4 linked regions of the Diceros bicornis minor genome follow. The protein of the gene in region 2 interacts with the protein of the main gene of each other region in a biochemical or structural test. Links are inferred from orthologs where the notes say so. Each region holds a gene or a part of one and is shown on either strand. Other genes may lie near its edges. The genes, in order: MAPT, APOE, LRP8 and LDLR.

Evidence for each region.
Region 1: the proteins of APOE (region 2) and MAPT form a complex in vitro, tested with the Homo sapiens proteins (2 studies listed by BioGRID, with this or other methods). The link is inferred for Diceros bicornis minor from reciprocal best matches to the Homo sapiens genes APOE and MAPT.
Region 3: the proteins of APOE (region 2) and LRP8 form a complex in vitro, tested with the Homo sapiens proteins (2 studies listed by BioGRID). The link is inferred for Diceros bicornis minor from reciprocal best matches to the Homo sapiens genes APOE and LRP8.
Region 4: the proteins of APOE (region 2) and LDLR interact in a biophysical measurement, tested with the Homo sapiens proteins (2 studies listed by IntAct). The link is inferred for Diceros bicornis minor from reciprocal best matches to the Homo sapiens genes APOE and LDLR.

Annotation. Positions count from the first base shown.
Region 1 is NC_080757.1:44,467,234-44,474,536, reverse strand, and holds the start of MAPT (microtubule-associated protein tau), read right to left. Parts: upstream 3,006-7,303; 5' UTR 2,912-3,005; intron 1-2,911. UniProt on the Homo sapiens protein: Promotes microtubule assembly and stability, and might be involved in the establishment and maintenance of neuronal polarity.
Region 2 is NC_080773.1:19,265,577-19,273,095, reverse strand, and holds APOE (apolipoprotein E), read right to left. Parts: upstream 3,017-7,519; 5' UTR 2,955-3,016; intron 2,619-2,954; exon of another isoform or gene 2,449-2,618; intron 2,201-2,448; 5' UTR 2,178-2,200; coding exon 2,135-2,177; intron 1,628-2,134; coding exon 1,426-1,627; intron 1,103-1,425; coding exon 397-1,102; 3' UTR 270-396; downstream 1-269. UniProt on the Homo sapiens protein: APOE is an apolipoprotein, a protein associating with lipid particles, that mainly functions in lipoprotein-mediated lipid transport between organs via the plasma and interstitial fluids.
Region 3 is NC_080752.1:15,652,464-15,660,175, forward strand, and holds the start of LRP8 (low-density lipoprotein receptor-related protein 8), read right to left. Parts: upstream 3,005-7,712; 5' UTR 2,884-3,004; coding exon 2,772-2,883; intron 2,008-2,771; coding exon 1,888-2,007; intron 1-1,887. UniProt on the Homo sapiens protein: Cell surface receptor for Reelin (RELN) and apolipoprotein E (apoE)-containing ligands. LRP8 participates in transmitting the extracellular Reelin signal to intracellular signaling processes, by binding to DAB1 on its cytoplasmic tail.
Region 4 is NC_080769.1:8,291,962-8,298,969, forward strand, and holds the start of LDLR (low-density lipoprotein receptor), read right to left. Parts: upstream 3,010-7,008; 5' UTR 2,902-3,009; coding exon 2,835-2,901; intron 1-2,834.

The sequences.
Region 1 (7,303 bases), on a different chromosome or scaffold from region 2:
GGCTCAGAGCTCCATCGTCGGAGCACGGGCGCCAACGCTGCATCCCTCCACATCCTGGGGGGAAGCTATTTAGTTAAAGCTCGCGCAGAGCCAGGGATGGAGTTTCCCGATCCGCGTACGAAGTACCATCCTCTGGCCCCCAGGATTCCTCCATTAACAGCCCCCAGGTCTAGCCGACCCGAGAACCCCAACAAACCGCCAATACATTTCAAAACCAAGCGAAATCGCGGACGCCTGGACCGCGCTTTGTTCCCGGCACTGGGCTAAATGCGCTCGCCCCCGCCTCGCTCCCTGTCCCGCAACTGACAGGCGGGGACCTCTCCGCCCGCGCGCGGTCCGCCCCAGGCCGCGGTCACCGCGAGCTCCCGTCCCCAGCGCCGCTCCGAGACCCTCGCTCTGTCTGAAACCGGAATCCTGCGCTCCGCTCTATGGAGGGGCGATGGAGAGCGGGGAAGATACTCGAATCGATCCTTGAGGCTCTCCTGCAACCCACGCGCGGCGGGCCGCGCTCTGCAGGAAGGCCTCGCAGCACCGCGGCTCGACCCCCGACGCCACAGCCGGGGAGGTTCGGCCTGGCCCCAGGCGGCCTCTCGATCCCGAGCCGCGCCATTCCTTCAGCTCAATCGGCGCCGCTCGCGTGGATGGTTCGGCCCCTAAAATGCTCATCCCTCTCAGAGCTGCGCCCTCGCACCAGTTTTCAGCGATAGAATTAACCAGAAAGCCGCACGGACCGGCTCATCGCAGGAGGGCGATGCTCGGACTTGTTGGTCAGGGGTCGGTACCCGAACCCCCCGCACTGCCCCCTCCCCACCGGTTTCAAGGGCGTTGGTGAACTCGGGCCCTTTAGTGAAAATTCCGCACGTTTCTAAAATAATATTCGGCCACAATAATAAAAATACACGAGGAACGCCTATCCGGGTGGCTGCGGCCGCCGAAAGGCAATTAGGAAGACCAACAGACTCAGGGTTGGGGGGGGTCTCCCTCCAGGAGGCCGAGGGCGCGCTGCCCCCCCTTCCCCAGGACTCTCAATCTCTGCCGGGAAGGGGCGGGGCAACGCCCTTAGCTCCGTTCTCCCGACGCGTGTGGTTTCTATGGCAACCTCATCTCCGCGCCCCCCTCCCAGTCCGCTCGGGAAAAATGGGTGTGGCCTGCAGCACCGGACGAAACCTCGGGCCCCCTCCTCACATTCTCCTGACTGGCGAAGCAACAGCGCGTGAAGCGGAGAGGGGCGCGAGCTACCCCCCGACCTCCCAGGGGTCGCCGGTGACCCTTGGTCCGCAGGCTGGTGGGGCGTGGCCCCCAGGAAGCTCTGGGTGTGGGGAGGGGCGTCGTCCATCTGCGGCCATCCGTACAGCGCGCGCAGACCTCGAATCCCACCCCATCGGCCTCGCGGACGCTTCCCGGCTCGCGGCCTGGCTCCGGGAGGGGGCCGCGCAGGGTCACGCCCGTTCCATGCGTGCCCCCGGGGCTGTGACTCGAGTTCCTCGACCCCAGCAAGCCCCGAGATCTAACAAAGGGCTCGGAAATGAGGGGCGAAAACCGGGGGCCTTGGTTAAACACCCTCATAGAAGAAAAGCCAAAAAACCAAGGCTGGCAACGCGGATCATGTAAGCCCGACAAACAAAGCAGCGAGACCCCCAGGAAGATCCTGGGTGAACGCCCCTGGGGCTCAAGCCCGCAGCAGCAAAAACGCCAAGATTTCAGCGCTGATTGCCCCCCCCCCTTTAATGACAGTCCCCGCCCTGTCCTCCGAAGCCCAGCCACCCGGCTTGGCATGGTATCGTAAAGAGGTGACACGCCGCGAAAAGATGGCACCTCGCGTTCAGAGAGGAAAAAAGCGGGGGTGGGAGTGGGAGGAGGCACAGCCCACCCTCCCCCTTCTCGCCCACCCGGGTCCACACCCACTGCCGCAGTGAGGGGCGAGCCCTGCGCGCCAGCCCCGCGCCTCCGGCAGGGAGCGCTCACGCTGGACGCCGGGCGCAGGGCGCAGAGCGCAGAGAAAGGCGCCCGCCCCGAAATGCACCTGCAGCCCCCGCGCCGGTCTGTGCGGGGCTGTGGCTGTCAGCACCCGCGAGCCGGGATCGGCCTCTGCCGAGTCCTTCCACATCGCCAGGCCAGGTGACCCCTGCCTTTCCGAGCCTCCACATTGGGATCCGCGCACTACCTTCTCTCGAGCACGGCGCTGCTCGAATCTCGGTGCCAGGCGCGCGCAGGGGGAAGGGCAACTAAAGTGACAGCGCCCGGACCCCTCCCCATCTCACGGCTTCCAGTCCCAGCCCCCAAATGTCCCCTGCGGGTTTCTGAAGGAGGAAAACGCAGAGGGCGTGGGCCACTGCCTTAAATCAGGGGCAGCGAAAGCCCGGTTGGAATTGCTGCCGGGGAGGTGTAGGGAGGGGCAGGCAGGGAATCATCTTTTCTAGAACCCAATCCATACCTTCCTTAGGGCTGACGGCAAACCGAGACAGAGAAATCGGATAACAGGTTCGGCTTCTGGGGTCGTCATTGGAGCCCCCCCACACACACACACATAGACACACGCCCATTGCGGCAAAAGGCGGCGACCGAGAGTGCATGGAAGCCCCTTCTCCCAGGTCACCGCCATCCGCGCCCCGCCCTGCGGGCACAGCCTGTGCCCGGGTCCGCGCGAAGCGGGTCCTGTGGACCCCCCCCCCAGCGCGCACACACACACACACACACACTCACACGCGTGCGTGCATCCCTTGCATGGGTCCCTTTCCAAACAGCCCAAGTCCCAACCCTGGAGCGCAGAGGGCGCAGGGAGGGGCCTCCGCCGTTGCCCCCGACCAATGCCCACCTCATGAAACCCATCTCTGCGGCGGGGCGCCAGGGGCGGCGGCATGGGGGTGCAGCGGGGCGGACAGGGAGGCAGATTTCGGAGCCTCGCGCTTACCTGATAGTCGACAGAGGGCGACGACAGTAGAGGAAAGCAGAGGAGAAAGTGGCTGTGGTGGCGGCGGCAGAAGGTGGGCGGCGGCGGCGGCGGCGCTGCTGCTGGTGCCGGAGCTGGTGGGTGGCGGAGACTGCGAGCGCGCGCACCAGCGAGAGGGCGCGCTCCCGAGACCGGCGGGCCGCGCAGGCGCGAGCAACGGGAGCGCGAGCCTCCCCAGGGGAGGGGCGGGCAGCGAGGCCTCCGCGGGCGTCTTCTCCTCCGGCCACCAGTGGGCGCGCGCGAGCAACCCACCGCTCGGCCCTCCCCTGCCTCCTACCTCGGTCCTCTTGGCGCTTCCCTTCCCCGGTCTCCCCTCCCCTCACTCCTCAGGCCGGGCGCTGACCGCCACGCGCACGCGCGAGCCGTGGCGCAGGCGCACTCTACGTCTCCTCCCGCTGCTGGAGCCTTTGTTTTGTCTGAGGGGTGTCTTCTCTCGGCAGGGTGGCTTGGTTGCTTCTGGGGGCGGGAGGAGGCTGGGTTTTCCGCTCCCAGATCTGCTACCCTTTTCATTCCCGTCGTGCCGGGATGATGTCCTATCACGGAAAGGTCCCGAGCGGGTTTCGCCATGGCTGGCTCCCCAGTCTGTCCACCTGGACTCAAGGCCAGTCCCAGGCTGGCCCTCCTTATCGCTGGCCGGGCACCCTGACTCTCCCGAGTCCCCAAATGTTCCCCCTTGTTGGAGATCAAGTTTCCCTGGGTCTGCTTCCTTTCAACTTGCTTTCCTTCTAGCTTTTTTGTTATTGACCAAGGAGAATCCTTTCCTTAGCTAATCCACTTAAAACACTCAGTTGTTAATACAGTAGTGCAGTTTTTTAACAAAGAGCATTCGAATCTATTTATCTAACTGTGACCCTAGAGTAAAATCTTAAATTAGACCAAGATTTAAATGGCGCTTATTACATTGTAAAGCATTTTCACATAAACAGTTATTTTTACCTCGTTTGTTGAAACACTGTTATACTGGAAGTAGAGCCTGACATCTGAATTTCTAAGTGCCTGGGGGAGGGGGGGGAGATTCTCACCTGGCTAACACACCTCTGACAAACTGACCAGAGGCCTTCATTCTCTCAGTCGCCCAATACGATATGGGAGCTTGTATTGAAGTTTTTTTTTTTTTTAATTTTTTGTTTATTGCAGTAACATTGGTTTATAACATTGTAAAAATTTCAGGTGTACATCATTGTACTTCTATTTCTGCATAGATTACATCATGTTCACCACCCAAATACTAATTACAAGCCATCACCACACACATGTACCGAATTATCCCTTTCACCCTCCTCCCTCCCCCCTTCCCCTCTGGTAACCACCAATCCAATCTCGGTCCCTATGTGTTTGTTTATTGTTGTTATTATCTACTACTTAATGAAGGAAATCATACGGTATTTGACCTTCTCCCTCTGACTTATTTCACTTTGCATTATACCCTCAGTGTCCATCTATGTTGTCACAAATGGCTGGATTTCATCGTTTCTTATGGCTGAGTAGTATTCCATTGTGTATATATACCACATCTTCTTTATCCATTCGTCCCTTGATGGGCGCTTAGGTTGCTTCCAAGTCTTGGCTATTGTGAATAACGCTGCAATGAACACAGGGGTGCATGTACCTTTACAAATTGGTGTTTTCAAGTTGTTTGGATAAATACCCAACAGTGGAATAGCTGGATCATATGGTAGTTCTATCCTTGATTTTTTGAGGAATCTCCATACTGTTTTCCATAGTGGCTGCACCAGTTTGCACTCCCACCAGCAGTGTATGAGAGTTCCCTTCTCTCCACATCCTCTCCAACACATGTTGTTTCCTGTCTTGTTAAGTATAGCCATTCTGACGGACGTGAGGTGATGTCTCATTGTAGTTTTGATTTGCATTTCCCTGATAGTTAGTGATTTTGAACATCTTTTCATGTGTCTGTTGGCCATCTGTATATCTTCTTTGGAAAAATGTCTGTTCAGGTCTTTTGCCCATTTTTTAATTGGGTTGGTAGTTTTTTTGTTGTTGAGATGCATGAGTTCTTTATATATTTTGGAGATTAAGCCCTTATCAGAAGTATGGTTTGCAAATATCTTCTCCCAATTGTTAGGTTGTCTTTTCATTTTGTTGATGGTTTCCTTTGCTGTGCAGAAGCTTTTTAGTTTGATGTAGTCCCATTTGTTTATTTTTTCTATTGTTTCTCTTGCCCGGTCAGACGTGGTGTTTGAAAAGATGTTGCTAAGACCGATGTTGAAGAGCGTACTGCCTATGTTTTCTTCTAGAAGTTTCACAGTTTCAGGTCTTACATTCAAGTCTTTAATCCATTTGGAGTTAATTTTTGTGTATAGTGTAAGGTAAGGGTCTACTTTCATTTTTTTGCATATGGCTATCCGGTTTTCCCAACACCATTTGTTGAAGAGACTTTCTTTTCCCCATTGTATGTTCTTGGCTCCTTTGTCAAAGATTAGCTGTCCATAGATGTGTGGGTTTATTTCCGGGCTTTCGATTCTATTCCATTGATCTGTGTGTCTGTTTTTGTGCCAGTACCATGCTGTTTTGGTTACTATAGCTTTGTAGGATGTTTTGAAATCAGGGAGTGTGATACCTCCAGCTTTATTCTTTTTTCTCAGGATTCCTTTAGCTATTCGCGGTCTTTTTTTGTTCCATATAAATTTTAGGATTCTTTGTTCTATTTCTGTGAATGATAGAGATGGGGACTGATTTCTTAAGCCACTGGTTCTGAGTCTCTGGAATCGACCTTTTTGTTTTTGTTGTTATTCCAACTGCCACCATCCTAAAGACCCTTACCTTGGTTCTGGACATGTAGTGACCTTACCAGTCTCCCTGCTCTCTGTTTCTCCCTGTATCAGCCTACCCTGCACCTCCTTGTGAGATCAACCTTAAGAAGGAATCATTTTAATCATGACACTCTGTTGCTCAAAAATATCTAAGTGGCGCCTAAGTGAAGTTAAACTCCTTAGCCTTAAACACCCCAGCCCCCACCCCATCACTTGAGCCCCTGTCCTCTCCAGGTATATCTCTCATCTACTCTGGCCAAATGAGCTTGTTTGCAGCTCTTCCCCATCTCTACTCTGAGGTTTTCCTTTGCCTAAAAAGTCCTTGCTCTGTCCCCACCCCACCAATATCCTACCTAACCTTCAAACTCTAGCTCAAATTTTACCAAAGCCTCCCCTAATCATCCCAACTGGAAGGGATATTTCCATCCTCTAGAAGGAGCTTAGCAAAGCTACTCATCTCCTTTCTCAAAGTGGAGAGATGAGTGGAATTAACATCAATCTTGCAGGACTGAAGTGTTATTATTGTCCCCAGTTGTTGCCTTTCCCCTTTTCCTGCATGGGGATTGTATGTCCTTGCCCCTTATGGTGAGACCTGCGTTGCTCCCAGTCTCCACTCCCCCGCTGTTGTTTGGTTAGGCTGTGTAATGGTCTTTGTAATGTGTCCGAGCTGAAGCTTTAAGAGGCATTGAGAGTTCCTGCCACTTTTACTCTTTCCCACCACCACCAGAATGGCATGTCCCTATAGGGCTGCTGCTTCTGCCTAGGTCCCAGAATGAAAAAACTCAAGGAAGTACATATCACATGAGCCAGAAGTAGACATTTATTGTGTGAATCACCGAGATTTTGAGAGTTTGTCACCACAGCAAAGCTGACTGATAGAGGGAGTAAATGAGAATATATATATTCTCATTTATATATATATATATGTTTCTTACACAGTGTGTGTGTAAAATTTCTTACACAGTGCCTGACGAATAATGGGCATTCATGAAATGATAAATAGTAGTTAGTTATTTCATCATCATCTTTATTACCTATGCTTTTGCTGTACATTATTTTATTTATATATGTAGAATAAACTGTAGTAGTCAAATTAACACTCCCCCATTCAAATTTCTCATTTTCTTTCCTTTAAGATATAGGATAATTGTGAACTGACAGGGCCTGATGACACTGTGGTCCCCTGATGCTGGGTGATCACATTTGCCTACATTAAATTGAGGTAATGAATGCTCGAAACAATCTTAAGCAGATTTGTCATCTAACTGTATGTAGTGTGGAGCTGAGTGTTCATTCCAGATAATTTAATCACTGTAGGTAGGTAAAGGCTCACGAATTCAGGCCAAGAAAATGCATTCCCTCCCTTCCTCCCTGCCCCTCCCTCTTGCTGAAATAGGAATCTCATGGCCACATTCAGCACACCGTGCCCACCGTACAGAACCACAGAAGGTAGAATGACATAGGAAGAGAGAACTGGATTAGGTTTCAGAACTGGATTAGGTTCAGAAGAGATGGCTAATCTTAGCCATCTTGCGTGACCTTAGACAAAATCATTAACTTCTCTGATCTTCAATTTCTTTAT
Region 2 (7,519 bases):
CAGGGGTGGATTTGTTGTAGGACTTGTTTCCTGGAGACAGAATGGAAACAGAGGCAGAGAAGCGAGAGTGAAGAGTAATGAGCAGAGACACTGGAAAAAGGGAAGGCTCAGAACGGGGACAGAAGGAAGCAGAGACTGAGAGATGTGAGAGAAAGCAGCAGACACACATGGGCAGAGGGGACAGGAGACGGAGCTGTGTGGCCCCTGTGGGGCGGGAAAGAGAAGCCGAGGCTTGAGCCGTGAGAAATCAGACACGCACACACAGCAGCTGCCGTAAAGCTCCATGCATCTTTATTAATCCAGGGCCCACCAGGAGGACAGCCGGGGTAGGGAGGGCGCCTCCTGCAGGCTGGGGGGGGAGGCAGGGGGCGTGGCGCAGGAGCGGGGGCAGGGCGCTCACTGCTTCTCACTGGGCACAGAGGTGGGCACGGCGCCCACGGCCAACTGCACCTTCTCCACCAGCTCGGCCCACTTTTGCTGCATGTCTTGCACGAGGGGCTCGAACCAGCTCTTGAGGCGGCCCTGGAAGGCCTCGGCCTGCAGGCGCACCTGGTTGGCCTGCTCCTCCACCTTGGCCCGCACCTCCTGCACCTGCTCACGCACCTCGTCCAGGCGGTCCCCCACCGGGAAGCCCGCCTTCTCCAGCCGCCCGCGCAGCCGCTGGGCCCAGGCCTCGGCCCGCTCCTGCAGCGGCTTGCTGACCAGGGTGTGCACGGTGGCGGCCTGCTCCGCCAGCGGCCCCAGGTGCTCGCGGAGCGTGTTCACGCTGCGCGCGGCGCCCTCCCGGATCCCGGCCTGGTACACCGCCAGGCGCCGCTGCAGGTCCTCGGCGTCGCGGAGCAGTCTCTTGCGCAGCTTCCGCAGGTGGGCGCTCAGGCGCCCCCGCAGCTCCTCGGTGCTCTGGCCCACCATGGCCTGCAGCTCGCCGCGGTACTGCGCCAAGCGGCTGCGCACCTCCTCCATGTCCGCCCCCAGCCGGGCCTGGGCCGCCTGCAGCTCCTTGGACACGCGGGCCTTCGTCTCCTCGGTCACGGGGCCCAGCTGCTCCTCCAGCTCCGACTTGCACGCCTTCACCTCCTTCATGGTGTCGTCCATCAGCGCCCTGGGGGCCGAGAGGGCGGAGCGTGGGCGTGGAGAGGGAGAAAGACCCGGCGGTGGAGGGCAAGATGGGGACAGAGAGACCCCGAGAGGGAGAGACGGGAGAGGAGGAAGGGCCAAGACAGAAGCAGAGATGGGAGGGAGGAGTGTGAGCGACCAAGCTAGCGTGATGGAGGGAGGCAGAATCAGAGGGAGGGAAGGCCAGGGCCTCGAATGGAAAAAGGAAGCAAGAAATGAACAGAGACAGAAAGAAACCCAGACCCGTGGGGGCTGAGTCCAGAAGGAACTGCCCACCAGGAGGGTCAGGGGCCAGGGGGGGACACTCACGTCAGTTCCTCGGTGACCTGGCTGCTCAACAGCTGCTCCTGCACCTTCTCGGACAGCGTCTGCACCCAGCGCAGATAGTTCCAGAAGCGGCCCAAGGCCTGCTCCCAGGGCTGGCTGGCCTGCCACGTGGCCCACTCCTTCCCCAGCTGCACCTCGGGCCCCGGCTGCACCTCGGGCCCCGGCTCCACGTCGGCCCCGCATCCTGCGCAGAGCAAGTTCCCGGCGATCAGGGCTGTTTGCCCGCTCCAGGCACACAGTACCTGGTATACAGTAGGTGCTCCACAAATGCTCATGCGCTTCTCCAGCGCACGAGTGGGCAAGGAGCGGGTGGAGGGACGCCCGGCCTATTTAATCACTTGACATGCATTTATTGAGGGGATCTGTCTGTGCTTCACGTAGGGCCGTGCTGGGGTGATGGAGTATTAAAATAATCCCAGTGACACTTATCTAATGCTCATTACCTGCCTCACAACAATGCATTAGAAACTGTGATAACTCCCGTTTTAAGGATGGGGAAACTGAGGCCCAAAGAGAGGAAAATGGCGGCTCAGAGTCAGTGAATGTCAGAAGAGGCCTCAGACCTGGGCCTCCCCTCAAGGGGGCGACAGACCAGCAGAAGAGGGGACCCAGGGACGGAAGGGGGGCAAGGAGTCCACGGGAGGACGGGAGGGGGAGCGGCAGGGAGCCTGAGCATGCCCCGGCCCCATACCTGCCAGGAGCGTAACCACCAACGCAGCCCACAGAACCTTCATCTTGCCGTCTGCGATTGGTCAATCTGCGGGAGGGAGACACTGTCAATCAACAGCCAGTAGGACTCTTCCCACCCAGAGCCCCGCTGCCCCCGGTCTTCAAAGGCTTTCCCCCGCCCCAGATGGGCATCAGCTTAATCCAATCACAAACATTTACCGAGGCCCCTCCCTTGTCTATTTAGATCCCTCCTGTCTTCTCCTATCTCCCCATCCCCGGGTCCGCCTCCGCCTCCCAAATTCCATCCCCCTCTCCCAGGGTTCAAATTCCACTCACTCTGCCCCGAGTTCCCGGTGAGTCCCAACAGGGCTTTCTAAATTCCAACCTCGCATTCCTCGTTCTACCTTCACATTCTAAGCTCCAACTTCACATCAAGTGCCATCTTCCATACATTAGCTAATTTAATCCTCATTTAAAAGTGCGCCTTCAATCGACGCTCTAGCTGCCCCGCCGCCACCTCTGCGCCTACAATTAATGGAGATCTGAGGACGATGGGGGCACCCAGCAGGCGCTTAATAAATGACAGTCTCAATTTGTGGCTTTTGCTATGGCTCATCCGGGTCTTCCTACAGGCCAAGGTGCTCCCCCCACGCCACCTTCCAGCCAAGGCGGGAAGCCCCTGAGACCCACCCCTCCCGTAGCTCCGGTCCCCTTGCCTCACCCCCAGCTCCCACTTCTGTCCCGTCCCATAGGACAGTCACCTCCTCTCCCCGAAGCCCGTTCCCCACAGAAGCCCTAAGCTGGAATCTGTGCCCCCTCCCCTCCCCCGCTCTGCTTCTCACCGGTCCTGGGGAACCGTGTCCTTCGCCTCCGCTGGGGCTGAATAAAACTCAGGGATCCAGACTCGTCCAATTAAAGGGCTGCCCCCTGCCCCGCCTACTCCTCCCGAGCTAGGACCAGCTGGGCCGGCCCCCAGTCACGAGGTGGGCTGTTCCCCCCTTAGCACAGCAGGAAGGGGGAAGGAGGTGGGGCTCGCAGGCCCTGTGACCCCCCCCCAACAGTCCTCACGAAGGGAGGTGACATCTCACCCAATTCTGGGAGGCTGGGTATGGAATGGACAGGAGCTGGCAGCTGCCCAGAACCCCCATTCCCTGCCCCTCTCTTTTTCTGTGGATGAATAACATTTGAGGAGGGGGCGGGGGGCCGGAAATCCTGGAGCACAGGAAGGAAGGGGCTGGGGGCTTGGATTCCTGAGGTCTCAGAGAGCAGGGGCTGGGGGCCCAGACAGAAATGGGACAGGAGGGGTGGAGACAGTGAAAAGCATCTGCTAAAAGCAGAGGCTTTGAAAGTGCAACCTGGGTTTTAAGCCCAGCTCCCTCTTTGGCTGTGACCTTGGGCACAGGGAAGAACCTCTCAGAGCCCCTTTTTCCATTTATAAAATGAAAAGCCAGCATTTCGCCCTAAACCTAGCATTGTGGATTCCAGGAGCCCACAGACTGTGCCTTTTTCAGGGCACAAAGCATTCCTGTTGCTCAGTTAGGACTGCAGACTCTGGAACCAAATGGTCCAGGCCTGAATATGGGCTGCCAGCTGTGTGACCTTGGGCAAATGACCTAGCCTCTCTGAACATCCAGTTTCTTGGTCCACAGAACCAGGAACTAGCTACGCTTACACAGTTGTTTGCTGATGAAACAAGCTACTGGACGTGGGAAGTCCTGAGGACAGACCTGGGACACAGTGGGTTCTGTATTAGAGCTGACTGCTGTGAGTGGCCACGAAGAGCGCTCCAATGCTGTCACCTTCCCAGCAGCCCTGTTACATGAATCCCAGCTGTTTCACAGATGACAGACAGAGGTTCAGGGATGAGGTGGATGGTGAAGCCACACAGGAGGACCTGGAGGAGCTGGGATTTGTTCCTGGTCCTTCCAGGGTGTGGGAACCTCGGATTCCATGGGGTCAGGGGAGGCCAAACGCCTACTCTCAGAAAGGGAGCCTCAGTGCCAGCTGGGCCCAGGTTGTTTGCTTTGGCCTCAGAAGTTGCTGGCAGTGTGGGTGGGGGAGCTCCTCTGGGTAATGAGGGGTCATCTCTGCCCAGCCACCTCCCGCCCAGACCGTGCATGTGGGTGACAGACGGGGTTTCAGTTCCCCTGTCTGGAGGGGATCAGGGGTGTCAGCTCATCTGAGCCCTAGGTGGCAAATGCGACAGCTCCTCGTCCTCCCCTTCAGAGGCCTGAGACACGGGGACCCAGCCCCCACCCCTCTCCCCACCTCTGCCTCAGACCCCAGCAAGTCCCCAGAGGCCTGAGTCCGGGAGCCCAGGCCCTTCTCCCCCTCAGACACAGTCATTGATTCTGAAGCCTTTCCAGGTGCCTGGATTCTTCCAGAAGCTTCTGATAGCTCTGACCTTCCTATCAGAAAGAAGTCTTAAGACCCCATCATGACTTGTCTGTGTTGGAAACTGGAAGGACCTTGGAGTCCCCGCTTATCGTCCCCATCCCTGCCCTCAGAGACAGCGTCATCCCTGTGTCCACAGCTCCCAGGGACAAAGTCCTGTGCAGCCACTCTGGCCAGGTCCAGCTGGGGTCAAGGGACCGAAAGACCGCGCCCCCCTGCTGAGGGAAGGCCTGTGATGCCCCAGCAGGGCACAAGTCAGGGGCCGTGTGAGCCAGGGCTGGGATATTCCCCTGTGAGCTGGGTCCCGGCGGCGGCCAGGCTTGACCCCCTGTGGGTGGCGTCAGGCTTTTGGGCGCCGACACTGCAGCGCCCCCTACCGGCCACCGTGGGAAGATCGGCCGGACGGAATGGGCAGAGGCCAGAGACACGAGCAGGACAACCCAGGCCTCCCGTTTCGCTTTTTTATGTATATTTTTTGTTCTTGTTTCTTTTTTTTTTTTTCTGTAAAATGTCCCGGTTCTTCCATAACTTATAAACATGATTTCTACCGAGGGGCTGGGAGGGAAAGGGGGCGGGGCGGAGGACGGGGGTGGGGAAGCTCCTCTCCGCGCTGCCCCCTCGGGGCCGGGCACAGGGACCTCCGGGGGACGGCGACGCCCCGACACCTCCCTGAGGTTGTGGCCGCCTCTGCCCCTGGTGCTCAGAATCCCGCGTCCTCCCGGATTCTGGAATCCCTTCCCGGATCCCGGCCCCCTGGGCGCGCTGCCCCTGCTGCTCCGACCCTGGAGCCCCCGTGGTTCCGGACCCCCCTCAGCTGCTGGGGCGGTGGGTCCCCTCCGTTGCGCTGCCCCCGGACCCCCGAGGAGGGAGGGGAGGGCGGGGAGGGGGCTGGGTCCCCCCCCCACGAGGCAGGGGCGGGGAGGGGTCTGGAGGAGGAGGGCGTGGAAGGCGGGCAGGAGGGCTCAGCCGATGGTGAGGCCGAAGCCGCACTGGAACTTGTTCTTGCGGTGGTTCAGGAAGGCCCCGAGGGCCAGCGTCAGGGGCAGCGGGGGCAGCTTCTTCTCCAGCGTGGCGCCCACGATCCAGTTGCTGTCCACGGAGCCTGTGGGGGACGGCGGTGCTGAGAGCCGGTGCCGGCCGCCCGCCCTGTCCCCGTGGGCTGGCAACCAGGCCGCCTCAGATGCCACCAGCCAGCCTGCCGGTTCCCAGACCTCCGACAGGGTTCCCGCACCAGGTCCCTCGCCCCTGAGAGCAACGGCCTTATTCCTCTTCCTCCTCAGCTCTCAGCTCAGTGACCTCCCCCTCCAGGAAGCCCTCCACCCCCCATGGCTCCCCCAGCCCAGCTGTGTCCACACGAAGTCATCACTCTCTGGGAATGGGCCTGTCCCCTCCACTGTGCGCCCTGTGAGGACAGGGCCTGGTCACCGTGGTGTCCCTAGCACCCTCAGCACACGGCTGACCAGAGCAGGTGCTCAGAATCTGCCGAATGAGAGACTGAAATCTCCTCTGGGGCCCAGAGCCTTCCAGATGTGTGAGTGCATGGAGCCGTCCCCACACCCTGGAAAGGGGTGATCACTCATTTAACGGGAGCAGAGAAGCAGCCGACCTGGATCTCAACCCCCTGACACCAGGCTGAGCGCGGAGCCAGGGTCAGGAGGCCGCAGGGCAGGCCTCAGAGGCAGAGACCCAGGACCTCAACACCACCTCAGAGCCCTGCCCAGGCAGACTGAGGCAGCAGCCAGGGAGCCTTCACACACCCCACATTGAGAACCACTGAGGTCCCAGAAGAGACTGAAGACTGAAGACTAGAGCCAGTCAGCCCAGGGGAAGGTTCTGGATCTGGCTGTGACTGTGCAACCTCCAGCGGCCTCAGTTTCCACTAATGTGAGACGAGTGGGGCGGATGGGCTCCAAGCTGCAGTCCACTCATGACCAAGGAGAGAGAGGGCCGAGGGCAGAGAGCGGAGGGCTGCTGGCGGGGTGGGGAGCAGCATGGCGGGTGCGAAGCTCAGGCCCCGGCCCCCAGCTTCTGAAGAAGCGTCCCAGGGAGTCTGCAGGTCCCCAACAGTCCCAGCTCGCCGCTCTCACCATCTCCTATGCCTACACACCATCTAGAGCCGTGTCGTCTCTCGTGTGTCCTCCAGGAGGAGACTGAGGCCTGTACCATCTCCTCTGGCCTGCACACCCTCTAGAGCTGAGTCCCCTCTCGCCCGTCCTCCAGGAGGGAGACTGAGGCCTGTACCTTTGAAGAGCAGGTTGGCCTTGGGCAGGTCCAGCTGGTACCCGAAGGAGACACTGGTGTCCTGCATCCTTGTGCTGGCCTCAAACTCCACGCCCACCTGCAGCTGAGGGGCCCGGGCAGCAGAGTCAGCCTCCCGGCTGCGCTCCCGGGCACTCCAGCCCCCAGCCACCCCCGCCTGGATGTGCGTCCTGGAGCCGGTGTCGGATGAGCTCACCTGGTCACTGGCTTTGTGGTAGTAGGTGGCGTGCTTGCCTGCCTGGCCCAGCGTGACCGTCACCAACCAGTTGTTCACTGTGAGAGAGGGTAGGGGTGGGGCAGGTTCCCAAGGGGACTTGGGCCTCTGGGATCCCAGGTTCCCCTCCTCCCTGAGACCCCAGGCTCCAGACCCCCAGTCCCTCCTCCCTCAGACCCAGGGCTCCGACCCCAGGCCCCTCTTCCCTTGTACCCAAGAGTCTGGCCCCAGCCCCTCCTCACTGGGACACAGGATTCCGGACCCCAGCCCTGACTCTACCCTTGCGCCCCAGGTTCACATGTGTATTATTTCCCCGCTAGAGACATGACAGTGCCCTCCTCCCCGGGCCGCTGGTGGCAGACCAGCTCTCCACCCAGGGCCAGACCCCGCGTGATGCTCTGCAGCTAGTGAGCCCTGAGGATTCTGGGCCTGGCACTGTGTGTCCAGCCAGATTCCTGCTCCAAGTCGCCTTCCAGGCTCCCCGCTGCTGAAGGCTCTGGGTCTGCCCTCAGGCAGGACTCGCCATGTGGAGACTTCTGT
Region 3 (7,712 bases), on a different chromosome or scaffold from region 2:
TGCCAATCCTCCTCCTTTTTTTTTTTTTCCCCCCAAAGCCCCAGTAGATAGCTATATGTCATAGCTGCACATCCCTCTAGTTGCTGTATGTGGGATGCGGCCTCAGCATGGCCGGAGAAGCGGTGCGTTGGGGCGCGCCCGGGATCCGAACCCGGGCCGCCAGTAACGGAGCGTGTGCACTTAACCGCTAAGCCACGGGGCTGGCCCAGAAATGCACAGTTTCTATTTCCCTGCCTCATCCTCGGCACCCACTCTATGAGGGGACCACAGAAGAACAACTCCCAGTGATGAGAGTCGCTTTAATATTCTACGCTGGGACAGCCATTTTCCTAACCCCAGTAGCACTGGGGAACGGTCAGGGTCATGATTAGGCTAAGAACTCTGGAGTCAGATGCTGAAATTCAAGCTCCTACTTCGCAGCTCCATAGCTGCGGGGCAAGTGACTTAATCTCCCGCGCCTCGGTTTGTTTCTTCTGTACAGCAGGACCGTTCTGAGGACTGAAGGGTTTATATAAGACAAGCACTCCCCACAGGGCCTGGCACACAGCTGACAGTCAGCACATTAGTCATTACTTCCAATCGCCTCACTAGAACTGGTCCTCAAAACCAGAGCAGGAATCACTAGCCTAGCGATCAGGTGAGGAGACTGAGGCGGGAGGGAAGGATGTGGCCAAGTCACAGCCCACTCACGGTTGGGCCTGAGACAGTGAACCCAGAGGCTGACTGGCAAACCCAGAAAAAAACCTCGAGGACTCCACAGACAATGCCTGTCCAGATACCCGCCCCACTCCCCGCACTGTGTGGAGCTGTGGGTCTGCCCCCGCCCCCCGTAGACCCTGTGTTCCCCGGCCTGCAGGTGCGCTGTTCCCCAAAGTGCCCCAGCGCCCGGCACACAGCGTGCGCTCAGGGACCAGGAATGAATGACTGCCTGCGTCCTGTTTTTCTGTTCCTGGAACTACACTCCTTCCACGGCGACAACTGCCCATTAACTGCACCCTGTCCCACAGACATCCACGACGGCGCACCCAAAGAAAGAACTCCCAAGGCGGTCACACCCGCGTGTACAAACATCACACCCAGCCGAGGCGGCCCGCACACGGGCGGGGGTTCACGCGCGGCCTCGGGATCCCGGGGCCCCTTCCAGGAAACAAACTCTTCCTCCTGGCCCCCTCCTTCCTGGTCTGCCCCATGACTCATGCCCGAGCAGGGCGGGCAGGAGAGCGCGGTCGGCTAACCAGGGTGGCACAAAAAGGTCTTCACGGTGACTATGCAGAAAAGCAGAGGGCCTCGCCGGCACCTACTTCCCGGGGGATGCGCGCGGGGGTGCGGCCGGGGCGGGGCCCCTGCGCCCAGGGTGCCGGAAACCTGCACGCACGCCCGCTCCACGATTGGCCGCTCCGGCCACGGGGGCCTATGGGGTGGTCCTCGTCCAGCCAATCAGGGGCCCCGGGGAGCCCATTCATTCACAGACCGAGCAGGGAAAGGAGTGCCGCGAGGCCCGGAGCTGCGTGGAACTTTGAAGCAGGCGTGCGTTCGGTGGGGCCGAGGCAGGAGTCCCGGAGGGCCCGACCGCAGAAAGCTAGACGCGTGCAGGGACCGCCGAGTCCCCGCCCACAGTTCCGACCCTGCCTGCCGGGCGTGGCGCGCCCTTCTCCCGGGCCACGCCGCCCCGCGCTCCGCCTCCAGCCCCATTAGGACACGCCGGCCGCCCAGCTCCCGCCGTGTCGCTAAGAGCCATTCAGCCCCGAGGGAGGCGGCGCCCAGTTGGCTTCCTGGCTGCGGGCTCCGGCGATGAGGTCCACGCATCTGGCCCGGCGGCGGCTGCAGCCACGTGCGCACTGAGCCTGGCGCCCCCCACCGTTCCCTCCCTCCCGGCCGGCCACTCACGGCAGTCGTCCTCGTCGCTGTTGTCCGAGCAGTCGTCGTCCTCGTCGCATCTCCACACGGAGGGGATGCAGCGCTCGTTCCGGCACCGGAACTGGTTCTCTTCGCACTCCTTGACCGGCCCTGCGCGGGGGAGAGCGGGCGTGAGCCGGATCCGCGCGGGCCATGCAGTCCTGGCCGCGGGGAGGGATCTACTAGGATGAAGGAAAGGGGGGGATGCTGGAGCCAAGGGCCCCAGGGGCCTCGGGCACCCTCGATCCGGAAGGAGGGCAGGATGGTGGGGGTTCCTGGGATGGCGGGCTGCTCCATGGTAGGAGACTAGGCACACACCGTCGGTGTCACACGACTTAGGTATACCTCCCATTCAGACACACTCACCCGCACACTCGGCCCACAGTCAGAGATCCACGCAGACACAGCGCACAGGGAGCCCCGAACACGCCAGGACACCCACAGTGGGCGCTGCGGGCACATCCCCCTCGCACACAGCCCCTCTTTCAAGGCGACACGCAGGGGTCCCCGGAAACGCATTGTCAGGCAGGGAAGTCGCTAGGCTCCGCTCACCGCCGCCGCGGAGCGCGCGTGTCAAATAAACCTCAACGGCGAGAATCACACAGCCCACCCGAAACCATCAATAACCACCCCCCGCAAAGTTCCCGGCAGGCCAGGCCCCCACTGCGCCCATCCCCCGCGAGCAGGTGCCGGAGGGCAGAGCCCACGACGCAGGAGCCGCGGGGGGTCGAGGGCAAACGAAGAGATGGCTGGGTCCCGAGGAGCCTATCCACCCGGGCGCCCCGACCAGGCCTGGGCTCGGGGCCTCGCCGCCCCCCGCCCCCTGCCCTTCGGCCCCCGGGCCGCGCTTTGTTGGCGGCTCCGGCCGCACGCACCTTGGCCGCCGCGCAGTGGATCCGCCGCCGCCGCCGCGAGATGCTGGAGCCGCAGCAGCAGCAGCAGCAGCAGCGCCAGCGGCCGGAGCGCGCCCCGCTCGGGGCGGCCCATGGCGGGCCCCGGGCTCCGGCCGCCGCGCCCCACGCACCCGGTGCCGCCCCCGCCGCCGCGCCTCAGCCCGCCGAGTCCTCGCCGCGGCGCCGGGGCTGCCGCTGCCCCCGCCGCCGCCGCCGCCGCCGCCGCTGCCGCCCGCCCCGGCTCCTCGGCTGCATTTCAAGCAGGTTCCGTGACGCTCGGCGGCGGGGCGGGCTCAGGCTGGGCGCGCGGCCCCGGCCCTGGGCGGCCGCCGCCAGCGCGCGCGCCCCTCCCGCCGCCGCCTCCGCCCCACGCCCCTCCCGCCGCCGCCGCCTCTGCTGCCTCCCTCACGTCCTTGGTCCTCTCCTTCCTCAGCAGGCGCTTGGTGACCCTGCTCTGGGCCCGCCCGCGTGCTGGGCGCCGCAGACGCTGGGATGAGCCAGGCGAGGCCCCTGCCACCCAAAGATAGCAGACAGTCCAGAGGAAGCAGCACAGGCTGCCTGGAGGAGGTGACAGGCTTATAGGAGGCTGAGGGATGCCTAGGAGTGAACCTGGGCGGGTGGGGAGATGATGTTCCCCGGTGCACAGGCCTGTGCAGTGTGCACGTGGAGCAGGAGTGGTGATAGATAGGGGTTGGGGTACCCGGATGTGTGTGATCGAGAAGGTGGGGGAGCAGGGCGGGACCTCTGCACCCCTCACTGGCTACAACCCCATATTACACATCTGTGTAGCTGGTTAATGCAGCCATGTGCATCTGTGCATGTTACACACTCATGTGACCACGGCCAAGGATGTGAGGCAGGTGGCTTGGGCCTGGCCCACAGACTTTATTCACCCATCCTTATTCGGTACTCTCCACGGGGCCAGGCAGAGGGGCAGACAAGCAGGGGACCAGCAGGGACAACATGTTAGTTCTTGCTGTGATGGAGAGGGCAGGACCGTGGGGCACCACAGAAGGGATTCGTCATCCCTGCCAGTAGCGGACACACACCCAGGGCCTCTGGCTACCTCTGCTGCCTCTGCATGAATGAGAAGCCCCCTCTTCTGGAAGGTAGCAGCCCTGCCTCACTTATGCCAGGGTGCAGAGTGTAGAGGGCAGACCTGGGACTAGATTTTAGGTGCCTGCTGATAATCGAGGCCCAACCCACATAACCTTTTTTGGACAAAGAGGTTTGAGAGCATTGGCAGCTAACAGAGGCAGGCTTGCAGGTGCCTGGGCCCAGTGTAGGTCAGCTCTCCCCCACCCTGTTGCTCCCTCACCTCTATGGCAGAGGGGCAGGAAAGGGGGCTTCAGGAGCTGTTAGCCCCAGGCCTGGAAGCCACTCTGTCTCATTAGCAGCCTCCTGAGCTCTATTACTTCCCACAAAGGGCAGCCCCCTCGACAATGGCCATGGCCACCCCACGGGAGAGAGGTGCAGACCTCAGAGAGTGCGGCAGCTGCTCCTGCCATTACCACCTTCTATCCTTTGTTCATTCGGTTCTCCAACAAGGCCAGCCCTGCTCTGTGCCAACCCTGTCGTGGGCCTAGAGTACCAACGTAAATCAGACCTGCTACCAGCCCCAGTGAGGTCCCTGACTGGCCAGGAGACACACCATCAACAGGCAGACAGTGAAATGCAGGCATACTTTCAACAAAAACTCGCTGAGCACCTACTATGTGCCAGGCATTGTCCGAGGCCTGGGGATACCACGTAGAAATAGATGCAGTCCCTCCTTGCTCTCCTGCAGCTTACGTCTTAGTTGGGAGAGACAGACACAAAAGCAAGAAAACAAAAAAGATCATTTCAAGGGCCGGCCCAGTGGTGTAGTGGGTAAGTTCACACACTCCACTTTGGCGGCCTGGGGTTTGCAGGTTCAGATCCCGGGCATGGACCTACACACCACTTATCAAGCCATGCTGCGGCAGGCGTCCCACATATAAAGTAGAGGAAGATGGGCACGGATGTTAGCCAGGGCCAATCTTCCTCAGCAAAAAGAGGAGGATTGGCAACAGATGTTAGCTCAGGGCTAATCTTCCTCACTAAAAACAAGATCATTTCAGATCCTCATAACTGCTATGGAAAAATAAAACAGGGTGATGGGAGAGTGATGAGAGGTAACTTTAGAGAGGTGATCAGGGAAGGCCTCTCTGAGGAGGTGACATTTCACTGAATGGCGAGAAGGAGCCTGATATAGATTGAATGTTTGTGTCCTCCCAAAATTCATATCTTGAAACCTAATCCCTAATGTGACAGTATTTGGAGGTGGGACTTTTGGGAGGCAATTAGGACATGATTGAGATTAGTGCCCTTATAAAGAGGCCCCAGAGAGATCTCGGGCCCGTTCTGCCACGTGAAGACACAGCGAGAAGATGGCCGTCTGTGAACAAGGTAGTGGGCTCTCACCAGACACCAAATCTTCACATGTCTTGATCTTTCAGCACCTTAATCCTGGACTTCCCAGCCTCCAGAACTGTGAGAATTAAATTTTTGTTGTTTATTAGCCACCCAGTCTGTCACATTTTGTTATGGCAGGGAATGGACGAAGACAGTGCCCAGCCACGTGAAGATCGGGTGGAAGGGCATTCCTGGCGGAGGGAATAGCAGTGCAGAGGCCTTGAGGTGGGCTGGAGCTTGGTGACGAGGAGAGGGTGGGTGCCCCAGGTGAGGTCGGAGGGAGTCAGTGAGGCCCTGATCACAGGAGGGCTTTGTAGACACAGCAAGGAGTTTGGATTTTGTTCCAAGCACAGCAGTGCCCGCTGTGACAGCAGGATGCCTGGGACTGTGGAGCCCCTCCTGCAGCCCAGATTGACCCCCAGCTCAGCCTCTCCTCCTTCACTCTGTGGTCTTAGGAGAGTCAGTCCCCATTTCTGAGCCTCAGTTTCTCATCTGCAAAATGGGGAAGACAGGGAATTTCCAAGGTTCCTTCCAGTTTTAAGATTATCGTGTGGATTGAAGTTCAGAGGCAGCAAGGTAGGGAGATGAAGAGCACAGGCTCTGGGTGAGTCTGTTCCTTCCCTTCCTAGCTGTGTGACCTTGGGCAACTCTCTTAACCTCTGTGGCTCAGTTCCCTCATCTGTAAAATGGGAATGATGACAGGACTCACAGGGTTGCGAGGATTATGTTAGATGAGATTATGTATGCACAGCGTGTAGTTCAAACATAATTCCCTATTCAAAACCCCAATGACTTCCCAACCCTCAAGAATAAAGATTGAAGGGCTGGCCCAGTGGCGTAGTGGTTAAGTTCACGTGCTCAGGTGGCCCAAGGTTCACAGGTTTGGATCCCGGGCGCAGACCTACGCACTGCTTATCAAGCCATGCTGTGGCAGGCGTCCCACATGTAAAAAATAGAGGAAGTGGGCACAGATGTTAGCTCAGGGCCAATTTTCCTCACCAAAAAAAAAAAAAAAGAATAAAGATTGAGCCCAGGCATCCCTTGACCTCCCCTCCAAAGGGGGTCTTTGCTCACATGTCTCACACACTCCAGTTGCCAAAATGGGCAACTCCTTGTCCCTCGACAGCACCCTCATCAGAGCTTCTCCAGGCTCCTCTCAGCCCCCACCCAGCTGGGTCACTTCCCTTTGTCCTAGTCAGCCTGCAAACTCTCTGAGAGCAGCAACCAGCTCTCCTGCATTCTGGGTCCCTGGCCTGGGACACATCTGACCAATGTTTGTTTCTGCTTTTACTGAAAGTTTCTGCACCCCTCGGAGGACTATGTCTGCCTCATCCTTGTTTCCAGAGGATAAAAACAAGCCTTGGCACATAACAAGCGTTAGATAAATGATGTGTAAATACTTGAAACCGTTGAAAGGGAACCTTATCGAGTAATAATCATCGCTAATGCTTGTTGGACACTTGCTGGGGACAGGAACTGTCTTAAGTGCTTTAAATGCTTTAACTCATTTAGTCCTTACAATATCCCCACGAGGCAGGTCTTACGTTTATCCCATTTTACAGATGAGCAAACTAAGGAATGGGGAGGGCACACAGCTAGCAAATGACAGAGCCAGCATTCGAACCCAGATAGCAGAACTGGAAATTTTTCAGGGCATAAGTTGGTTAATTTCAGTGAGGGGCAAATGGAGGGAACCTAGCCCTCAGCACACACCAGACACCAAATGGGTCCTGAGGGCCTGGTATCGCTTCTTGTCCTCACCTGTCTTCTCTCTCCATCCTGGGCTGACTCAAGTATATGGGCCTTGTCCGCTCCTGGATTTCCAGAGAAAACCCTCAAACCCAATCTCAAGTGCAATGAATTCCCCATGAGACAGAAACAAGTGACATTCCACCTACTGTCAGCGTGGCACCCTGCCCCACCCAAGCCCCCACATCCCACCTCCAGAGCCACCAGAGGCTCAGCAGCCCACCCCATGCACACTCTACCCCCTTATCCTGCTCCCCAAGAACTGGAGCTTCAGGCCTCTGCCAGGCTATACCCTCTGTCTAGAACACTTCTGCACTGGCTGACTTCTGTTCATCCTTTGGGCCTCAGCTCAAGTGCCTCCTCCTCTGGGAAGCCTTCCAGCCTCCTCCAGAGAGGTCTTCCCTGCTCCTCTGGGCTCCCACAACATTGTGTGTCCCAATCACTCTGCTCACACTGGGCTGTCAGTGTTGGCTCCTCAAGTCAGAAACGGGGTCATCCTGGTCCTTGCTGTGTCCCCAGTGATGACTTGTTAAAGGGAAGTGTGACCGTATGAATTCTCACCAGGACCAGGGCCAGGGCCAGGGCCAGGGCCAGAGGGCCCTCTGCATACACCTCCCCACGCCTGCTCTGGCTGGCCTTGTGCTAGGTGAGGGGCACAGATAAACAAGACTCCATTCCTGCCCTTGAGGATCCCTGGTCTGGGGGCAGAAAGTGACAGTGCAGGGTGATAAGAGCCCCGGA
Region 4 (7,008 bases), on a different chromosome or scaffold from region 2:
CAGGCAACACCGTCCTGAGCAAGCGGACAGAACTAGCCCTGTTTCAACACCACAGCCCCAGGAAACTGGACATTGTTATTTCCTCCCCATTGCAGAAGCAAGGTTTGGCTTTGCCATGTCAGTTTCATTTGAATTTCAGCAAAAGCAAACTGGAACAGGGCTCCCATATCTCCTCATCCTGAGGATGCCTAAAATTACCTAAGCAGTGCATGCCCCCCCCCAAAAAAACCCTCTAAACTGTAGCCCTTAGATCTCTCTTGCCACGGGTGACAGATCACGAACAAGGTTATCGAAACAGAAAAGGAGAATACACATTTCTGCTTTTTCGTCAGCACACAAATGAGGTGGTAAATGCTGTCGATGTTTTCTTTCCCATGCTACTGAAGATACTCGCTGTACAGGGAAATCGAATGGTAGGTGGAATGTTTCCTTGCAAAAAGAAACGGCTGGCGTTACCAGACTCAGCTGAAAATGATGAGAAATCAATTTACCAGCGCTTTTTTCCAAACTAGGTGACGTCAAGGTATTTTCCCCAGGAGTGGTCTCGAATGGTAGATTTTGCTGCCAGCTCCTTTGGGGAGGGGTAGCCTGTTTCTGTCACTGTTCACGGCTGTTACTTCCACAGTGTCTTAGCAACAAACGGTCACTTGCTTGACAGCCAGGCAAAGTGGGGATGCTATTAATGTACTTAATGTGTAATGTGAAGAACAACAAAGGCATCTAGAATTAGATCTTATCAGGGGAGGAACCCCACAGATCTGAGCAGAACTAACTAGAATAAGGCACGTAATGCTCCTTGAAGATTTGCAGTCTCAAAAAAGTTCTCCCTGTCTTTGGCCAATGTTGTCCTGGAACAAAGTACACTCTGTAATGACCAGTGAATCCCCTGGGGCATGTTGCCAAAGCAGACACAGCTCTTAGCAGCAGGCTCTCCTTTCTCTGAGTTTGGGTGTGCCCTTGGCACACTCGATACCCCACGCACAACATTAACTGCTTTTGATCTGGCTAAGTGAAGGCACACAGTTCAGCGCCCAGCTACTTCTATTGCCAAAGGAAACGGACATGAAATCCTTTTCCCGCAAATGCTTTGAAGACAGCTAAGGAGCAAGCCGGAGCAGCCAGGGCTGCGACAAATACACAACAGGGTTTTCACCCCAGTGGAGAGACGTAGATGCCAGCTCTCCGCGGTCTGGGGAGCACATCAGAACTGAAAGCCTCCTTGAGAACCGAAGATCCATCAGATCCTCAGCCACCCAGTGAGAGAGGAAACTAAAGTAAGCCACTCATCTTGCTCAAGACTTCGCTGCCATTATTGTCTCTTAGGGAAGGAGTCCAACAGTGTGAAATACAGGTTAACCCAGTGTCTCTTGAGCAAGCCTCTCTCCTCCGGCTTCACACACCTGGGTGGCCGAATTCTTACAATAATCTGCTCTGTGGGGCTGCCACCTCCCTTCCTCCCCTCCCAGCGGAAGCGGATGTGTCACAGGGTCGGATTCCGAATTCAAAGCCACCTCCCTGCCAATGAAAAAGGCTTCCTGCCATTCTGTTGAGCAGCCAATGCCCGGCTGGGCTGGCTCTGAGCAGGAAAAGGACCATTTATCTATTTTCCAGGGCGAGGTCACATGCCTCTGGCAGCTCACTTACAGCCACCGGATTACTCAGGATCGCGCACCAACTCGCCTCTTGCCCGAACCTCAATCTGAATCTCCCTAAAATGAAAAGTCCTCAGGACCCGCTGGGAGCCTCTGAACAAACAACGCAACCCTGAGGCGTCTGTCCGGTGTCGCTGTCGCCCCCCAGCTGACGGTCTCCGCCAAGTGCCCTTCGCGTCCGACCGAGGAGGGGCGAGTGTTTCCGAAGCAACATTCCGCCTCGGAAGGAACCGGGGCCCTGAGGGTGGCCTGGGGACACCTCCGTGAACTTGACCCGGGCGGGCAGGGCGAGGGCGGCCCCGAGGACTAAATGGCGACGAAGGCCTTGTGACAGATCCGGGAGGAAACCGGGGGCACCCGGGCGCTCGGCGGGCGCCTCATCCACGCTCGCGGAGGCGACACCAGGGGCCCGGGACGTGTCGCCCTGTTGTGGCAGGAGCCCGGGACGGACGCGAGGCATCGCCGTCGTCGCCTCACCGAGAACGAGGTGTGGAGCGAGCCCTGCGCCAGCCCCGCCCCACTCGTGCGCAAGCCCCGCCCACGCCGCGCGCGCCTCCGCAGTCGCCGCCTCCCATTGGCCAAGGGGAGTGGCTCGAGGCTCGCCTGTTCGAATCGCGCCCAATAGGAGCCAGGGGGCGGGGCCGCGGGCTGGGGGCGGGGCTGGGGCGGCGGCTTTGGGCAGAAGCGCGCATGAGGGGCGAGGGGAGGATGCGCGGCGACCGGCTCCGGGAGCCGGCGGCGCCCTTGAGCGGCACAAAGCCCGCTTGGCCGCAGCGGTGACCCCTGCCCGTGGACGCGCGCGGGGGAGCGCCCGCAGGGACCTCCAGGCTGAGCAGCCGGGCTTCGGGTCACCCTCGCCCCTAGAATGGCTCTAGAAGGGGGTCCCTCCTTCCCCAGAGCTGGAGATGCCGGTACCCCCGCTCTGAGGAAGACAAGGGAGAAACCCGGGGGGGAAGCCACACCCCGATTCCCCTGACTGCTCCAGATCCCCCCAAGCCCCGCGCCCCCCTCCGCGCTCCCCCACGCGGCTTCGCCCTTGGCGAAGGACTTCGTGCCATTTTCCCACAAGCCTCCCAAAGATGGAGTTATTTTTCGCTCTACCCCCCAAAAAAATTACCAAAGGGCTCCCCGAGTTCGGGAGGCTCATCCGCACCCCGCGCGGGCGCCTGGAGCCAGCCTTACCTGCAGCCCCCGCCGCGGCGAGCAGCAGGGCGATGGCCCAGCGCAGCCCCCAGCCCGCGAGTCTCATGGTCCCAGCCTCCGCCAGCAGCGCCCCGGCCCCGGCCCCTGTCAGCTGTGTCGGCCCTGGAAACCCGGGCTTCGCGCGGCCCGGCAGCGACTGCACGCGGGGCCCCAGTCATTTGCGGCATTTCAATGTGAGGTTTCTCGCGGGGGAGGAGTTTGCAGTGGGGTGATTTTCAAATATCTTCGCCTCACTGCCGGAGGAGGAGTTTGGAGAGGAGGAGTTTCGAACGGCTGATGTTACATGGGCTTCTTAACCCCTGAAACCCTGACTTGCATTCCAGCCCTTTCCAAAGCCTCTCCAGGGCAGGCCGCTTGATTTGTCATTGGTTTGGTAGCCCGGAAGAGCTGAGCCCCCCCCCAAATTGGAGATGAGCCTCCTGAAAGATGTCTCTTTAATTTGTCTTAACTTTTAATTGCCACATTTCCCTTTGGTACCCAAAGAAGATTGTTGATAACCATCTGTCCTTCCAAATGGTCTAATTGGTTAACGACATCTCCCCTCTGCCTCGAAAGGAAAAAGTACAAATCTTGGAAAATGTCTCCCTCTCCTTTCTCTACCAGCTTTTTCCTTTCTAGGAATTGCAGATAGATTTTAACTGAGTTTAGTTGTACATAGTTTTTAGGTGGTTCTTCCAAATCGCCATATAAACTAATCAACGAGGCATTTAAGAAAAATCTTCAAAAGTACAGCCAAAAACTGATTTTGTTTCTTGGGATCCAGGCTTGACATATGAGCCAAAATATTTTTAAAGTTAAGTGACCTGATACCTGGAGTCTGGACGTAAATATTGATGTATTCTTTTAGGAGAAGGAGTTGCATAAACAGAAGGGCAGCTTCCTCTCCCCAAAGTAAAATTCAAACAAAACGAGGGCTTTCAGAGTTGAACTTGACTGCCTGAGCCCCGGAGGGCTGATGGAGAGCAGCTTTCAAGAATCAGAGAGTCTAGTTTTTTTTTTTTTTTTTGCTGAGGAAGATTGGCCCTGAGCTAACATCTGTGCCCATCTTCCTCTATTTTATATGGGATGCCGCAACAGCATGGCTTGATGAGCACTGTGTAGGTCTGTTCCCGGGATCCAAACCTGCGAACCCCGGGCCGCCACAGTGGAGCGCACGAACTTAACCACTACGCCACCAAGCCAGCCCCTAGAGAGTCTGTTTTGGGATTCATGAGGTTGCCTGCCAGAGCCCCCTTGCCAAAAGAGCACATGTGGGGATCTTGTCTGAACCCCACAAAAAGTCTGGCAGACTTGGAGGGTTCCCCCAGGAATTTCTCTGGGGTCTTACAAACTGGGGAATTGGACAGACCTAGGGCAGTCAGTCAGCCTTCAGAGAAGATAAGCCTGCTTCCCTTACTTGGCAGGTTCAGTGTCAGGGTCAGAGGACATAGTTAGCAACCACCTGGAGAAATTTACAAGGATGGGCAAGTTCTCCGAGTTGTTACGACATTTACAAATGTGTCACCATCGCATTCCATTCCTTATACCGAACGCCACATTTTTTTTCTTTTTATGTCTGTAAGAGCACTGGGTTTGATTGCCCTTCAGAAAAATTACAAGACCTGGCAAGCTCGGTTTCTGTTGTGAGCTCAACTTTCTGTATCTGGTGGTGGGAGGCCTTTTCTCCCCAACGGGCCTGGAAAGGGTTAACGGGAAGAGGTTTTCTTCCAGGAAGGAACTTAGTTTAGCATGTTTCCAGAGCTAGTTCAACACTGATGTAAGGGCAGACCTGGAAAAGGGCCACAAAAGGCCTGGAAAGAACATTCCTCGGGTGCCAAGGCCTGAGCCCAAGCAAGGTCTCCAGGACAGCTCTCCCCATCTCCGCCTTGAACCTTCCTTTGGAAATCTCAAGGCCCCTTCTGTCCCTGCCACGAATGGACCTGGTCACGTGTTGCTCTGAGAATGGGGGTCACGCTGTGTAATTTCTCTAGTCTGCTTCTTGGAGCCTCCATTTCCTCTTCCGTAACTAGCTCACAGGGTTGTCGTGAGGATTAAGTAAATTAATATATATACAGTCATCCCTCGGCGATGTGGTGGGTTCCCTTCCAGACCACAGCAACAAAATGCATATCGCAATAAAGCGAGTCACACAAATTTTGTGGTTTCTTGGTGCATACAGAAGTTATGTTTACGCTATCCTGTAGTCTAAGTGTGCAATAGTATTATGTCTAAAGAAATAATGTACATACCTTAATTAAAAAATACTTTATTGCTAAAAAATGCTAAACATCACCAGAGCCTTCAGCGAGTAGTAATCTTTCTGCTGGTGGAGGGTCTTGTAAAAAACGCATTATCTGTGAAAAGCAATAAAATGAGGGCTGTCTGTATATAGTGATTAGAACCGTGCTTGGCACATAAGCACCAAATATGGAGTTTGCTTTTGTTTTTTTTTTTTTTGGCTGTGTTCGTGTTGCAACTGCATCTATTTTTTTTTTTTTTCTTCCCTCAAGGAAGACCTTCTGCCTCAGAGGCACTTAAAAATAATCCTTCCATGGAAGCCACTTCATTTGGAAGATCCTGGGCTGGCAAAGTCATCTGCGACAACCCAGGGTAAGCGTTTTCCTCATTCTAATAGACAGCCCACCTGTCGTGGGTTTTGGCTCATTAGTTCACCAGAAGGCTCAGACCAGAGTAGGTCTTCAGCCAAAGGAGTCCGGCCTTTTGGCAGAGGGGAGCCATGGCAGCTGCAGTCTGGCCTGTGGGCCAGCAGGCAGCAGAGAGAGTGAATAACTGCGTGAGCCATGGTGCCTTCCAGTAGGTTCCATTAGGGACCTGCCTTGACCCCGTCCCCATCAATCATCTCCATAAAACCCCCATAAGCCACGTGAGGGCAGAGTCCATGGCTTGTACCTCCCCTGCCTGCCTGCAGTAAAGGTAAAATGAGTAAATGAAAAGAAAGAAATTCTTGTTGGAGTGGCTGCAACAACAGCAGAGATGCACCCTTCCTGAGTTCTACTTGCATTGGGATTTTGATGATTAGGAACTCAAATTTTGTCCTGGGCTGCCAGTCCTTCCTTTCAGACAGAACACCAGACTCGAAAGCAAACCTGTACTGGGGACACAGAGAAAGCCTTGAGTCGGTGGTCGGGGGAGACTCAAAACTGACCAAGGTACGACCTTGTGCTCCAGGACTCCAGGAGAGAGAACAGGGCAGGATCTTCTATAAACAATGGGCCCATGCAGTGCCTGAGAATTCAGAGGCTGCATTTAGTGTGAGAAGTGGAAAGGTACTCGAGAAAAAGTATATTTTCGTTTAGTATGAAGAGTCGAAACATTCCCGTGGTTCAAAAGTAAAAAGCCTTGATGAGGAACAAGGCAAGGATGCCCACTTTCATCACTTCTATTCAATTGGAAGTTCTAGACAGTGTAATTAGGCAAGAAAAAGAAATAAAAGGCATCCAAGTTGGAAAGGAAGAAATAGAAAAGAAGTTTTATATGTAGAAAACCCTAAAGAGTCCACATACACACAAAAAACTGTTGGAACTAATAAGCGAATTCAGCAACATTGCAGGATATAAAATCAAGACACAAAAAACAGTTGCATTTCGTACACTAGCAAAGAACAATCCTGAAAAGAAGTTAAGAAAACAATTCCATTTACAATAGCAACAAAAAGAGTAAAATACTTAGAAATAAATTTAACCAAGAAGGTGAAAGGCTTGTACACTGAAAACTAAAAAATGTTGCTGAAAGAAATTAAAGACACAAATAAATAGGTTTTATTTCTGTTCATGGCTTAATATTGTTAAGATGTCAATACTACCCAAAGCAATCTACAGATTCAATGCAATCTCTATCAAAATCTCAATGATGTTTTTTATTGGCAGAAAAAGAAAAATCCACGCTACAATTCATATGGATTCTCACGAGACCCTGAATAACCAAAATAATCTTAAAAAGACCAAAGTTGGAGGTCTCATACTTCGTGATTTCAAAACTTACAACAGAGCTACGGTAATCAAAACATTGTGGTGTTGGCATAAAGAAAGACATATAAACCAAAGGAACAGAATAGAGAACCCAGAAATAAGCCCTCGCATATACGGTCAAATGATTTTTGCAGGGGTGCCCAGGCCATTCAATGGGGAATGCACAGTCATTACAACAAATGGTG